3 linked regions of the Drosophila melanogaster genome follow. The protein of the gene in region 2 interacts with the protein of the main gene of each other region in a pairwise test. Each region holds a gene or a part of one and is shown on either strand. Other genes may lie near its edges. The genes, in order: CG5721, CG1307 and CG15459.

Region 1 (4,012 bases), on a different chromosome or scaffold from region 2:
GGATTGCACTCCACTGGAGGTAAAGTACCACTATCACTTTATTCATCATATCATTTTGCTAATCAACTTTGGTTTAAGCATATCTTGTAACTAACATTCAACTTTAGTTGTATTTAGGTATAATTTGTATTCCTTTGACATTTATCTCTAATGAGAGATACATCTCACACTTTCAGGTGGTGACCTTCTTGAATTCAATTTACCGGGTGTTCGACGAGCGTATCGAGTGCTACGATGTCTATAAGGTTGAGACGATTGGGGACTCATATATGGTGGCATCGGGTCTGCCGGTGAAGAACGGTAATTTATGCAAATTCAGCTGTCAGTCATTCAGTCATTTAAACCCCGCCCGCCGGCAACATCCCACTGCTTGACTGCCCCAAAAAGATTTGCGCTAATTTAAATTTCATTTGTGGCCATGCGCGTAATTTATGCCATGGAACTTTCCGACCCGCTGCCTCTGCAGGGAACAAGCACATCAGCGAGATAGCAACAATGGCCCTTGATTTGCTGGACGCCTCGTCGGTGTTCCGGATTCCCCGGGCAGGAGACGAATTTGTTCAAATACGATGCGGTGTGCACACGGGTCCGGTTGTCGCCGGTATCGTTGGCACCAAAATGCCGCGCTACTGCCTCTTCGGCGACACGGTGAACACGGCCTCGCGGATGGAGAGCACCGGCGAGGCGCAGAAGATACATATCACCGAGGAGATGCACGACTCGCTGCAACAGGTGGGCGGATTCCGTACCGAACACCGCGGCCTCATCGATGTCAAGGTATTTGCAATCGATCAAAATCATTCTTACGAACCTTGAGGATTCTACTTAAGATGTTTACACTGCGTATGAGTAATGTTTGTAAATTACCGTTAGCCCTTAGTATAATTCAGTTCCTTTTAACTCCCATTAGTTCGCTATAGCTTTTTGTGTACCGTGTTTTTTCCATACTTTTAAAACAACTTTTTTTGTTGGGTGAACCTGCAAACTGTTTCATTTTCAGGGTAAGGGTCTAATGAGCACCTACTGGCTGACCTGCAAGGACGGACCGGTTAGGGCTCGCGAGGAGATCTCGTGGCGGGCGGACATACAGCCCGTGTTTCTTGACCACCTGAAGCTGCATCCGCCAACCGACTACAAGCTGCCAAAGCGGAAATGAGATGCAACCAACTGCAAGTTTTCCGGCTAGGCCAAATAATGCTTATCCTGGCCATAAATTCGAGGTGCTTTTCTTTTGGATGTGCATGCATTAGTGTCCCGCTCTCTCAATCTCTCTATTTAAATATCTAAGTATCTTTCCTTTCTATCAAAAAGTTGAAGTTACACGGTGCACCAAGTGTAGATAAAATATACAACATAAAATTCGTCTTAATTTTAAATTCGCTTCAAAATATAATAATTAAATCACTTCCTTGAAAAAAAGTGGAAGTGCAACTGATGCATCGTGTACAACAACTTTAAACGCTTCAATGGCCAATCGTCTTTTTACATGTAATACACAGTGCAAATCACAAGCATGCGGCCAAAATACAGACTTATGTTAATAAAAAATATGCGAGAAATACATTGTTACCATTCGTTTTCCAACCACAGTGATGGGACATATATAAAGAAACCTAAAATCTTTTCTTTCACTTCTTTAGTTATAAAATAAGGTTATAATTTATTTTTTATCAAATTCGGTGTTAGTATTAATACAACAATTTTTTTGAGTGTTCAATGGTGAGTTTTATTAAACCGTACAACGATATGTATCGAATGTAAATCAGCTGGAAGTATGACCGCCCTGCGAAGTGCGATAGTGTGACCGCAGCCACTAAATTCGAACTGTGCCTGTGTGCCTGCGTGTGGGCGTGTGTGTGTGTGTGGGAAGTTACAGAGAGAACAAAGTAAAATTTGAAAAGTTAAAGCTGCAGCTGCTGAGGGCATAGCCAAAATTGGACGAATCACTGCCATGGCCAAGGTTATATCGCAGGACACCTTCGACGATGTTGTGAAGGAGAACGTTGTGGAGTTCTCGATGACTCCTTCGGAGGCGAAAGAAGAGACCATCAAGCAATTCGAGGCACAGGTAAGTAATGTCGACATAGTCATCCAGTAGATTCACTTTAATGAAATGATTGCAGGGCATCAACCTGGCCAACATTATCAAGGACCTGTCCGTCAATCCGCAAACCGGCCAACCTGTCATCAACGAAACGGTGGACAAGATCAAGGAGCACATTGGCCAAAAACTGGAGGAAACAACGGAGCTGCTGGAACAGCTGGCCACCTTGGATGCTGAGTGCAAAAAGTCGCTAGCCCATAGGGTTCTAGCCGGCAAAAATGGAGCCCACGATGCCCTGATCACCCTGTTGGAGGAGACGCTCTCTGCTGAGTCACCCAACGAATCCGTGTTAAAAAAGTCCTTGGAAGCCATCAACAGCCTGACCCACAAGCAGCCGGATCTGTTTGATGCCGAGGCGATGGCCGTGGTTCTCAAGTTACTGGCCCTCAAAGTGGAGAGTGAAGAAGTCACCCTGTTGACTCTTCAATGGCTGCAGAAGGCCTGCATCATGCATGAAATGAACCGCCAGAATATCATGAATACCTCCGCACTCAAACTCATGAAGCCCCTTTTAGGGAAAGGGAAGGACCGCCTGGTGCGTGAACTGACCGCCGTCTTCCGCTTCCTAGTGCTGGATGATGACATTCGCGTTGAGTTTGGATGCGCCCACGAGCACGCCCGCCAAATAGCAGGCGAGGTGCTCATCACCTTGGTGGAACTTTTGCCGGCCTATCAGGATCCTAATGTTCTGGCTGATCTTCTGCTGACCATTGGAACACTGGCTGTGCGTCAGGAACTCTGTACAGCTATCGACGAGGCTGGTGGACTGAAGTCCGTCTTCGAGATCATGAGTTCGAATTTGGATGAGGTGCGTCTAAATAGAGAGGCCTTAAAGTTGCTACGTGCCCTGGCTGGCCAAGACTCCGTGAAGTCACATATAGTACAGCAGGGCGTGGCTCCTATAATAAAGCAATTGCTAGAGACGCACCAGTCCAATGAAAACATCGTTGCCGCCGCTTTGGCCTGCGTGACTACTCTGACACTCCGAGTGCAGGAACACAGTGCCGCCTTTTTCGATACCGGCATCGCCGAAGTAATCGTGGAGGCTCTTCGCGCCCATCCCAAACACAAGATAGTCCAGCGAAACGGAGCGTGGGCCATCCGCAATATGGTGTCACGGTCGCGGAACCAGTGTGAAACCTGGATCTCCTTCGGCGTTGAGGATCTACTAAATATGGCAATGAAGGAGCACCCCAGTGTGGAGCAGGACATCAAGGCGGCGTTGCGCGACCTCGGCTGTAGTGTCCACTTGCGCGAGGAATGGACGGGCACGGCGGAGAAAAAAATTGCCGCCTAATCGCACACACATATGCCTTTTGTATTTTTATATATTTACTGCTAAATTATTACTATTGCTTAATTCATGCATTGGCTAACTAACAAAATCGGCAATCCTCAATACCAATCGCGTGCTAATACCCAACTGGGGCAGTCTCTTATGATCACATGGCTGTGGACTTATTTGCCCAGGTTAAAGTTGCGCAGCGAGCCGGCTTTAAGACGCTGGTTGACATTCCGGGAAAGGGCGGTCGAGGATCTGATTGTGGAAAGACCCTCTTCCTCGGCGCGCTGCGCAAAGGGGTCAACCTTCTCAGAACCGCCCATTCCATTGTAGACAAAATTTGAGCCCGTCGTGGCCGTCAACGCAGAACTACTTGAACTTCCCAGCAGCAGTCTTGGCTTCTTGAAGATTGAATACTGGGGGAATATACGGAATTTTTAAATGGTTAAGTGGAATTCGGCAAAATTATTGCGTTTACCTTTTCACTGAGATCACTGCTGGTTTTCCGTATGGTTCCGCTGGTCATAGACACACCGCCACCGACTCCCTTGATGGGCGATATTTTAGACTTGGCCAGCCCAATGTTACCCTTAGTATTAAGAAGATGCGCCAACCCGACGCTGCTG
Region 2 (3,849 bases):
TTCGGGCTTAGTGGCGAAAAAAAAACACAAACGTCCTTCAACTTACCTTAACCTTGGGATATTCGTTCATGAAGATCGTGATGATGCCCACGTAAGGCAGGAAGCCCCTGGCCCGGCCCACAATGTCCTTTTTGGTCAGCCACAGCTGGTTGGGTGCATACAGGCCCCGGTCGTCCACGTTGTTATTGTCGCCCTTGGTCAGGAACTTGACGGATCCGTCCTCTCTGCAGAAAAGATTGATTGGGATTATATGGGACCAAACCAAACCAAAAGGAAATCATACAGAATACAATAAAAAGGAATCTTGGCCCGTGACTAAATATAAAACAACAATGTTTTAAGACAACGAAACACAAGCTTAACTTAATGACGTGTCCTAAAACTACAAATTGTATCTAAAATAAAAAATGATCTATTCCATACGGCATGTGAGCTATTTTCAATCCCTTTTAGAAAATATGTAATTCCTTTTTGCCTTCACTGCTGTAGGAAAACTTTTACTAGCCACTGTGTTCCATGCACCTTCTCATAAACGAGCTTAAGGGAGGTCCACAAATTTACATAACATTTCATGTGCACAAGGATTTCAAATAGTTAAAAAAATAGCATTACACAAAAGTGGCACTAATTTAGTTCCTTCCCCTGGCGATTAGAAACTATGATGCTCATTCCACCTAACCGATCAGAGATGTTAAAATGCCTACTTGAACAGCAAGCACCCAGTACGACATCATGCCCCATTCATCTTAAAGACGCTTTCTGGGATTGGTTTCCATATCCGTAGCCCCAGGAAACTCACTTTTCGTGCAGCTTGATGACGCGGTGTACAATGGGTATGTCCCTGCCCTCCACCTTGAAGACGACGATCTCGCCGACGCGCACCGGCTCCTCCTTGTAGTTAGTGAGGAAGAGGAGGTCGCCGCGGTGGAAAGCCGGCTCCATGCTGCCACTGAGCACGACAACGATCGGCGACTCGCTGCCGGTGACCACCATCAGGCCCTTCCAGATCATCAGCGCCGAGGAGACGATCATGGCGAAGCTCAGCACCTGGTACAGCGACTGCGGGAGGGAAAGGGCACGAATCAGGATGATATATGGGTGCATTGCCCGGAGAAGCGGCGCTGCTCACCTGACGCTTGTTCATTCTGTTGAAGTCGCCCAGCATCTCGTCAATCTGCAACATGCTGGCTACGCCCATGGCTGCGGCTGTTATTGCGGTGCTTGTGGAGGAAATAGCCTTTTTAAATGCAATTGAAAAGGTCCTTAACAAAACTTCTCGGCTTCGTCCACGAAGACAGAAAATTTCCGACACGTATGTTTAGGCCGAGTTGCCAGACGGTGTGTGACGGGTGCGTGATGATCTTTGTGCAACTATTGTTCGGTCACACTATTGTTTCCCAAAAACTCCCGCCTTTTGTGACTTTTTTTTTTTTTGGGTATAAACATTATTTAATTCCCGGCGTTGGTTCAAGTTAGTCTTTTATTCTGGTCTTCGTGTTTACCTTATAAATGTTTCAGAAGTTCTAAGATTAAAGGTCACTCTGTACTATAAATCACCATTTTTATTCCTATAACTTACCAATTGCGCACATTAGAGGCATCTTAACCTTTATTAATACATAGTAATATTATATAATATATATCGTAGTGGCAAAAATTCGAATTAATAGCGTTCGTAATAGTTCTTAAATATATTCCTGAGTTAACGGTAAAAATTAAAGAGTATCCCATACGCTACAGTGCTGCCACACCAAGCAATCGATAAGCGAGCTGCCACCACAATTTGACAGTAACGTTTTCCGCAATTGGTGTGACCGCAAGCGAAAACGTGAAGTGAGCGCCATCGGTGGTGTTTTCTCGCGAAATATAATATCAACTAAGCGGAGAAAGATGGGCGACAAGTTGCTGGATCCGACGCAGATCATCAATGGGCTGGCTGTGATGCTGTCCTTTTTCGTGGGCTACCGATACGCCCTGAAGCGAGGCGATGCCAAGGACTCCGTCACCGAGGGAGCGGCGACCCCGTTCTCGCAGGAATCTTCGGTGTCTAGCGGTTCCGAGGCTTCAGTTTCGGATAAGGTGAGAAGGAAAGCCCTCGGTAGGCATTCAATGGCCCCAATCCACCTAGTACTCTGAACTTGTTGTAGACCCAAATGCATCATTGAACGCATACACTTGGGGTCACAATAATAGCAGTGCCATTTTTTGTTGTACGGTAGAAGTTTTCAAAAGTCCTACTTTACATAGTTTAAAGTATGATTTTTTAACATAAGTATATAGCACATACACATTATAATAATATAATACCAACGCTAATTTTCTAAACATTGCAGGGCTATGGAGGCTTGAACGACAACTTTAAGATGGTCCTGGTGGTGCGCAACGATCTCAAGATGGGCAAGGGCAAAATTGCCGCCCAGTGTGGCCACGGAGCGGTGGGTGCTTACCAGCGGGCGGTGGTCAGGACGCCTCGACTACTGCGGTCGTGGGAGAACTGCGGTTGCGCCAAGATAGCCGTTCGCGTGGAGAGCGAGGCGGAGCTGATGGCCATCAAGAAGGAGGCCGAGAGACAGCAACTGAACACGTGTCTCATCCGCGACGCCGGTCGCACACAAATAGAGGCCAACTCCAAGACTGTGCTGGCCGTGGGTCCAGCGGCTGCCGCCGACATCGACCGGGTTACCGGCCACCTGAAATTGCTGTAAGATCCGCACTTCGGAAACTCTCACAGGCCATTGGCATTACTAATTCACTCAAGTGCAACCCGACAATTCACAAAGCAATACGGCGCACCGGTGGAGCGGTTGAAAGATTAAGGCCACCGGGTGGAGGACGACTGTGACATGCAAGCTAAGCTAAGATTTACGTTATTACATTAACTGTGAACCGAGCTATTAAACATTAAACGATTGACAGTCCGGCCTGGAACTGCAAAGCTCCGAAGCGTTTTTGTAGGGGTTCAAGTGGTAAAATCCTAGCTCAAGTAATTAAGTCCCTGTAGAGTATTTCCTTTTTCCAAAACTATTGTGTTTTGGTAAATCCTTTACTAACATATATTTGAAAAATGAAATGTGTCTACTCATTAAGATTATATCTAGCTTCCCACAGTATTTGGTCTATTTCTTTTCAGAAAATATCAGGGTCTTTTGAAAAGTAATGGTGACACTTGTTTGTTTCTAGGCATTATTTAAAGTTATGAAAATTATATTTTAAAAACATATTTTGAATTAGATTTCATAAATTGTAAAGTGTATAATTAAAAACATATTGGCATGAAAAGGAAATATTTTTTCAGAGAACATATTGTAGTATTTCAAAATCCGTTAAAACAATGCATTGTAAAAAGTGTATAAAATTGTTTCACAGCGAAGCTCAATCCTATTATTAAATCGACGTTTTATTTTCTAACAACTAACAATTATTCCCTATCACTAAAAAGTCCAGGCATAATCATTGTCTCCCTGCGGCGTCTGTTGCTGCTGCAGTTGCTCTGATTGCATTGGTGGCATCACTTGGTGCTGCAACTGCTCCATTTCCTGCACTTGTTGGAAGTCCAGTTGCGGTGGTTGCTGGTAGTCGAGAGTCGTGGGCTCGTTGGACGAATCCACCATGTATATCTGCGACTGCGATGCTGCCTGTCCCATCTGCTGGTGCTGCAAGGCGTAATCCCCGTCGTCGAAGACCTCCTTTTTGATACGCACTCGAGAACCATCGTCTTCCTCGTCACTCTCCGAAATATCCAGATCATCATCGATGCCCATTCCGTTGTTCATGGTATTGACAGGCATTTCCGGCGCCATTTGCATGGCCATTGAAGCGTCCATTCCTAAGTCTGCACCGGAAGCGGCA
Region 3 (3,742 bases), on a different chromosome or scaffold from region 2:
GACAATCCCATTGCTGGGCCGCATTTCCCCAGTGTTCATCAGCGATCATGCGAATGCAAATAAGGTTTCAATCTGAGATCTAACGGGGCGGTTCCAAAATCGGTTCCAGAGTTAGGGTCGCATGGATACCGCGCATCCAGTTTTCCGTTTTGAGGTCAAACAATGTAAAGATAATCACAATCGGTAATAATGTTTGGTATATATCTTAAAAAATTATAAAATAAAATCTATTTTTACAAATAGTTTGCTATTTACATATACTCCTTCAAGATGCTGATTTTAAGATATACTATCTGGAAAAAAAAGTTTTTATATTTTGATAGTCCACCAGATACCACCAGATATTTTGCTACCACCAGATATTTTGCATACCAGATGGTTGCTGTTTTTTTGTTTTTTTTCTGGAGACTCACATAACAAGTGGCCATTTTTTTCCAATATATTTAAAAATTTAATTACAAGGCAGGCATTTTAAATATAAGCCTTGTAACCCCTTAAGTAAGTCCATTACACTCACTTTAACCACCTATTACCTTGTATGCAAATGAGTAGTTCGGTTTGATTAGCATTCAAATTAGTTGCAAGTTGGCATTTATTTGGCGAAATGTATTTCATTTGTGCATTTAGTACAACTGATGACGTTGAAATAAGTAGTATTGCGTGTGGCATGAGCCCAAATCGCTGATAAAGCTAACTGCAATAAATAATAAATGTAAATTATAATATCACAAAAGGCTTATGTTTGCATTAGCATAACTGAAGCGTACAGCTAAATAGGCCAGAATGTTTACATGCTAGCTAGGTGATAAAATACATTTGTAGAGGATATATTAGATATATAATGGTCGATCGATATGCGATGTTAATATCAGATTCCAAGACTTTCATACGGACAGACATAGCCATATCGGCTTGGCTAGTGATCCTAATTCCGACCAGGATGGCAAGAAGTTCTGTGTGACATACAATTTTCAACGAATCTAGTAACTGGTTTAAAAATAGTTATAGCTGTAACATGCTTAAAAATTTCATAAAATTGTAAATGGTATTTAGCTCAATGAATTCTGAAGTTGGTTAAAGGTACAATATGAAAATGTCCAAAACTTTCGATTTGCCTCTTGCATATCTCAATTTTCATCACAGTATTTAAGCAGTAATTAATGGGTATCCCATTAGTCGGTACTAGACTTCAGCATTCTCTCTAGTTGGGAAACCCGAGTCGGCTTTGACGACTGTCAGTAACATTCCTTTCATTTCGAACGTTTAAAAGTCACAATCCGAATCCCGGTCTAAAATACAGGTCGAATATCGAATCCAAATTTTAATCTTTTGTTAAAAGCCACGCCAATCCGGTCAACAACGATCCAAAGATGTCCGATCATTTCAACTTCAACGAAGCCTTCAACAGCCAGACCATGCGTGGTCGCGCCAATGTAAGTGATTCAGTACACGGCAGTACACAAGATGCGCCCAAATACGCCACCGAAACCCACAGGTAGCCAAGGCCACCTGGGCCTCGTTGGGACTCGTCTACGTCCTGGTCAAGATGCACCGCCGCAACACGAAGCGGCGCGAGACCAAGCTCTACTGCAAGGGCTGCCAGCAGGCCATGCTCCATGGCTAGGGCGCCGATGCTGCCAAATCATTGAAGTCATGGCTCCCCACCGCTCCGACCCATTCGACCCGTCAGCAATCCATAACTATTTATAATCAGCACCCCCTTTCCGGTCCTCGATGCCACAGTTAAAGGCTTGGGGACCAAACTCATGTACCACCTCGTTGAGTCAATAAAAATCGAATCCTGCCAATGAATCGACTTTGTAATCTAGTTGGCCGAGCTTTGCACTTCGCTGCTTGTCATTAGGTTCTCGCTCGGAGCTATAGGCAGAACACACTCAGCTCTCACCCGGACCCGACCCCAAATCCAGATCTCCAGATCTCCAGATCCAGTCCAGTAGCAATGGCCGACGGCTTTAAGAAGTACTTCAATGGGACAACCATCAATGGACGCGCTAACGTAAGAGTGATTCTATTGAACGCACACAAGATAAAATGAACCATCGCTTTGGAGCTGTTGATGGACACAAAATATTATTTTCAGCTCCAAATTGAAATTCAAAATTATTAATTTAACATTTTTTTACATACATTTTTTACAAATACATATACTATGACCCATTTCGCAGGTGGCAAAGGCCACATACGCCACGTTGGCCCTGTTGTTCATCGTGTACAAGCTGCGCCGCGGATCCGGCAAGACCGGCGAGTTGGCCAGCGGCAAGTGCAGCTGCGAATCGGACCACGAGTCGTCCCTCAATGGCGACATTGGCGTCTACGGCGCGGATCCCGACTGCTCCGTTTGCCGGGAGCGATCGGAGCGGGCCATGACCGAGTTCGATCGCGAGCAGCAGCGCCGGGCGGCGGGCGAGGATGACAATGGTTGTCGCGACGATCCGCCGCCGCCACCACCTCCGCCCACATCGGGAGGATCAGGCTCTGCTCCGCGGCGCAAGTGTCCCTGCGAGGAGCCGCAGCGTCGGGCGGAGGGAGCCGTGAAGCATAGCAGCCACAGCAGCTGGGCGCGAGGCCAGCAGATTCAGCCGCCAAACCAGTACCAACAGTATAAACAGCCCGAGGCGGAGCAAGTGCGTCCGGCTAGCCAAGTGATGGGTCAGGTGCACGACGCCTTCTACAGGGTGCTGCGAGGAGTCGTGGGAGCCGTTTTGGGCAATGCGGCGGTCAACACCAGCGGCACCGCTTCCGATTCCCCAGCTCAGGCAGCCGCAGTGGAAGTCTCGCGGGATGAGCTGGACGAGGATGAACGTGACGACGGCCAGGACGATGAGACGCCGTTAAAGCGCCGCACGGCACCGCGCTCTTGCGTGCCCACAGGCAGCCAAGAGAACGCCTCGGGACAGCCGGAGGAACTGGGCCGGGAACAGGCCGACGACCAGCCGCAGGCGGAGGAGCAGGCGGAGTACAGCGCGTTCAGCGATGGCTTCACTTCCGGCCTGTCCTTTACCAGCGATGAAAAGTAGTTGGCTAGGTCTGGGCGTAGGCTTCAAGAGATCTGCTAAATTTTTAGTCTAAAATAAATACGAAGAACTTCTTTATCTCAGCATTATGCTTTAACAATCCATTACTTGGCGCCCCCGGGTGGATCCATTTCTTTCAGTCGTTGCAAGATACTAAATTAAACGGGGGGCAATTGCTTTATAAAGTATTTTATTTAGCTTCCGTTTAGTTCAGATAGAGTTTTCTTTGCGGCATCTAACTTTTAAATAGATCATCATTATAAACGTTTTTAGCCCCTTTGTGTTCTCGGGGTTATCAATATCAATTACGTAGCTTATTAACTGTTTTGGGCGGGGTTCGGACTCGAGATGGATGGGAATGGATTGGATTGGATTCAATTGGGTTGCGTCTAACGTTTAAGCCTTGTGTTTAATTATGAGTGGACTTCAACTAACATTTATATTTAAATTTATATGTATATATAATATAATATGGAAATAACTTTAACGTTTTGCTTTTTGGTTTCATTATGCGATCGACCGATTCTTTCGCTCTCTCGCCGTCTCTCTCTCTCTCTCGCTCTCTCATTCTCTCTCTCCTCATTCTCCCTCGCTTGCCGTCTCTCTCTCTCTCTCGCTCGATTCGTCGTCTTGCTCCGATTCAAGTGCTAATTTAAAATATATGTTTATACGTGTATATATGTGTACGTGTCGCGTGAGTGGGTTTA

Evidence for each region.
Region 1: the proteins of CG1307 (region 2) and CG5721 interact in a two-hybrid assay, tested with the Drosophila melanogaster proteins (one large-scale study listed by BioGRID).
Region 3: the proteins of CG1307 (region 2) and CG15459 interact in a two-hybrid assay, tested with the Drosophila melanogaster proteins (one large-scale study listed by BioGRID).

What each region holds. Positions count from the first base shown.
Region 1 is NT_033778.4:18,181,930-18,185,941, reverse strand, and holds CG5721 (uncharacterized protein), read left to right. Parts: upstream 1-1,851; 5' UTR 1,852-1,951; coding exon 1,952-2,068; intron 2,069-2,123; coding exon 2,124-3,401; 3' UTR 3,402-3,507; downstream 3,508-4,012. Other genes in the region: CG33958 (uncharacterized protein), read left to right, coding at 1-19, 177-300, 467-777, 1,001-1,156; nopo (no poles), read right to left, coding at 3,563-3,802, 3,865-4,012.
Region 2 is NT_033777.3:6,655,378-6,659,226, reverse strand, and holds CG1307 (uncharacterized protein), read left to right. Parts: upstream 1-1,784; 5' UTR 1,785-1,890; coding exon 1,891-2,079; intron 2,080-2,333; coding exon 2,334-2,705; 3' UTR 2,706-3,197; downstream 3,198-3,849. Other genes in the region: twr (twisted bristles roughened eye), read right to left, coding at 47-224, 800-1,059, 1,130-1,198; Taf1 (TBP-associated factor 1), read right to left, coding at 3,432-3,849. UniProt on the Drosophila melanogaster protein: The natural substrate for this enzyme may be peptidyl-tRNAs which drop off the ribosome during protein synthesis.
Region 3 is NC_004354.4:20,411,716-20,415,457, reverse strand, and holds CG15459 (uncharacterized protein), read left to right. Parts: upstream 1-1,876; 5' UTR 1,877-1,960; coding exon 1,961-2,017; intron 2,018-2,186; coding exon 2,187-3,038; 3' UTR 3,039-3,117; downstream 3,118-3,742. Other genes in the region: CG15458 (uncharacterized protein), read left to right, coding at 1,371-1,433, 1,496-1,624.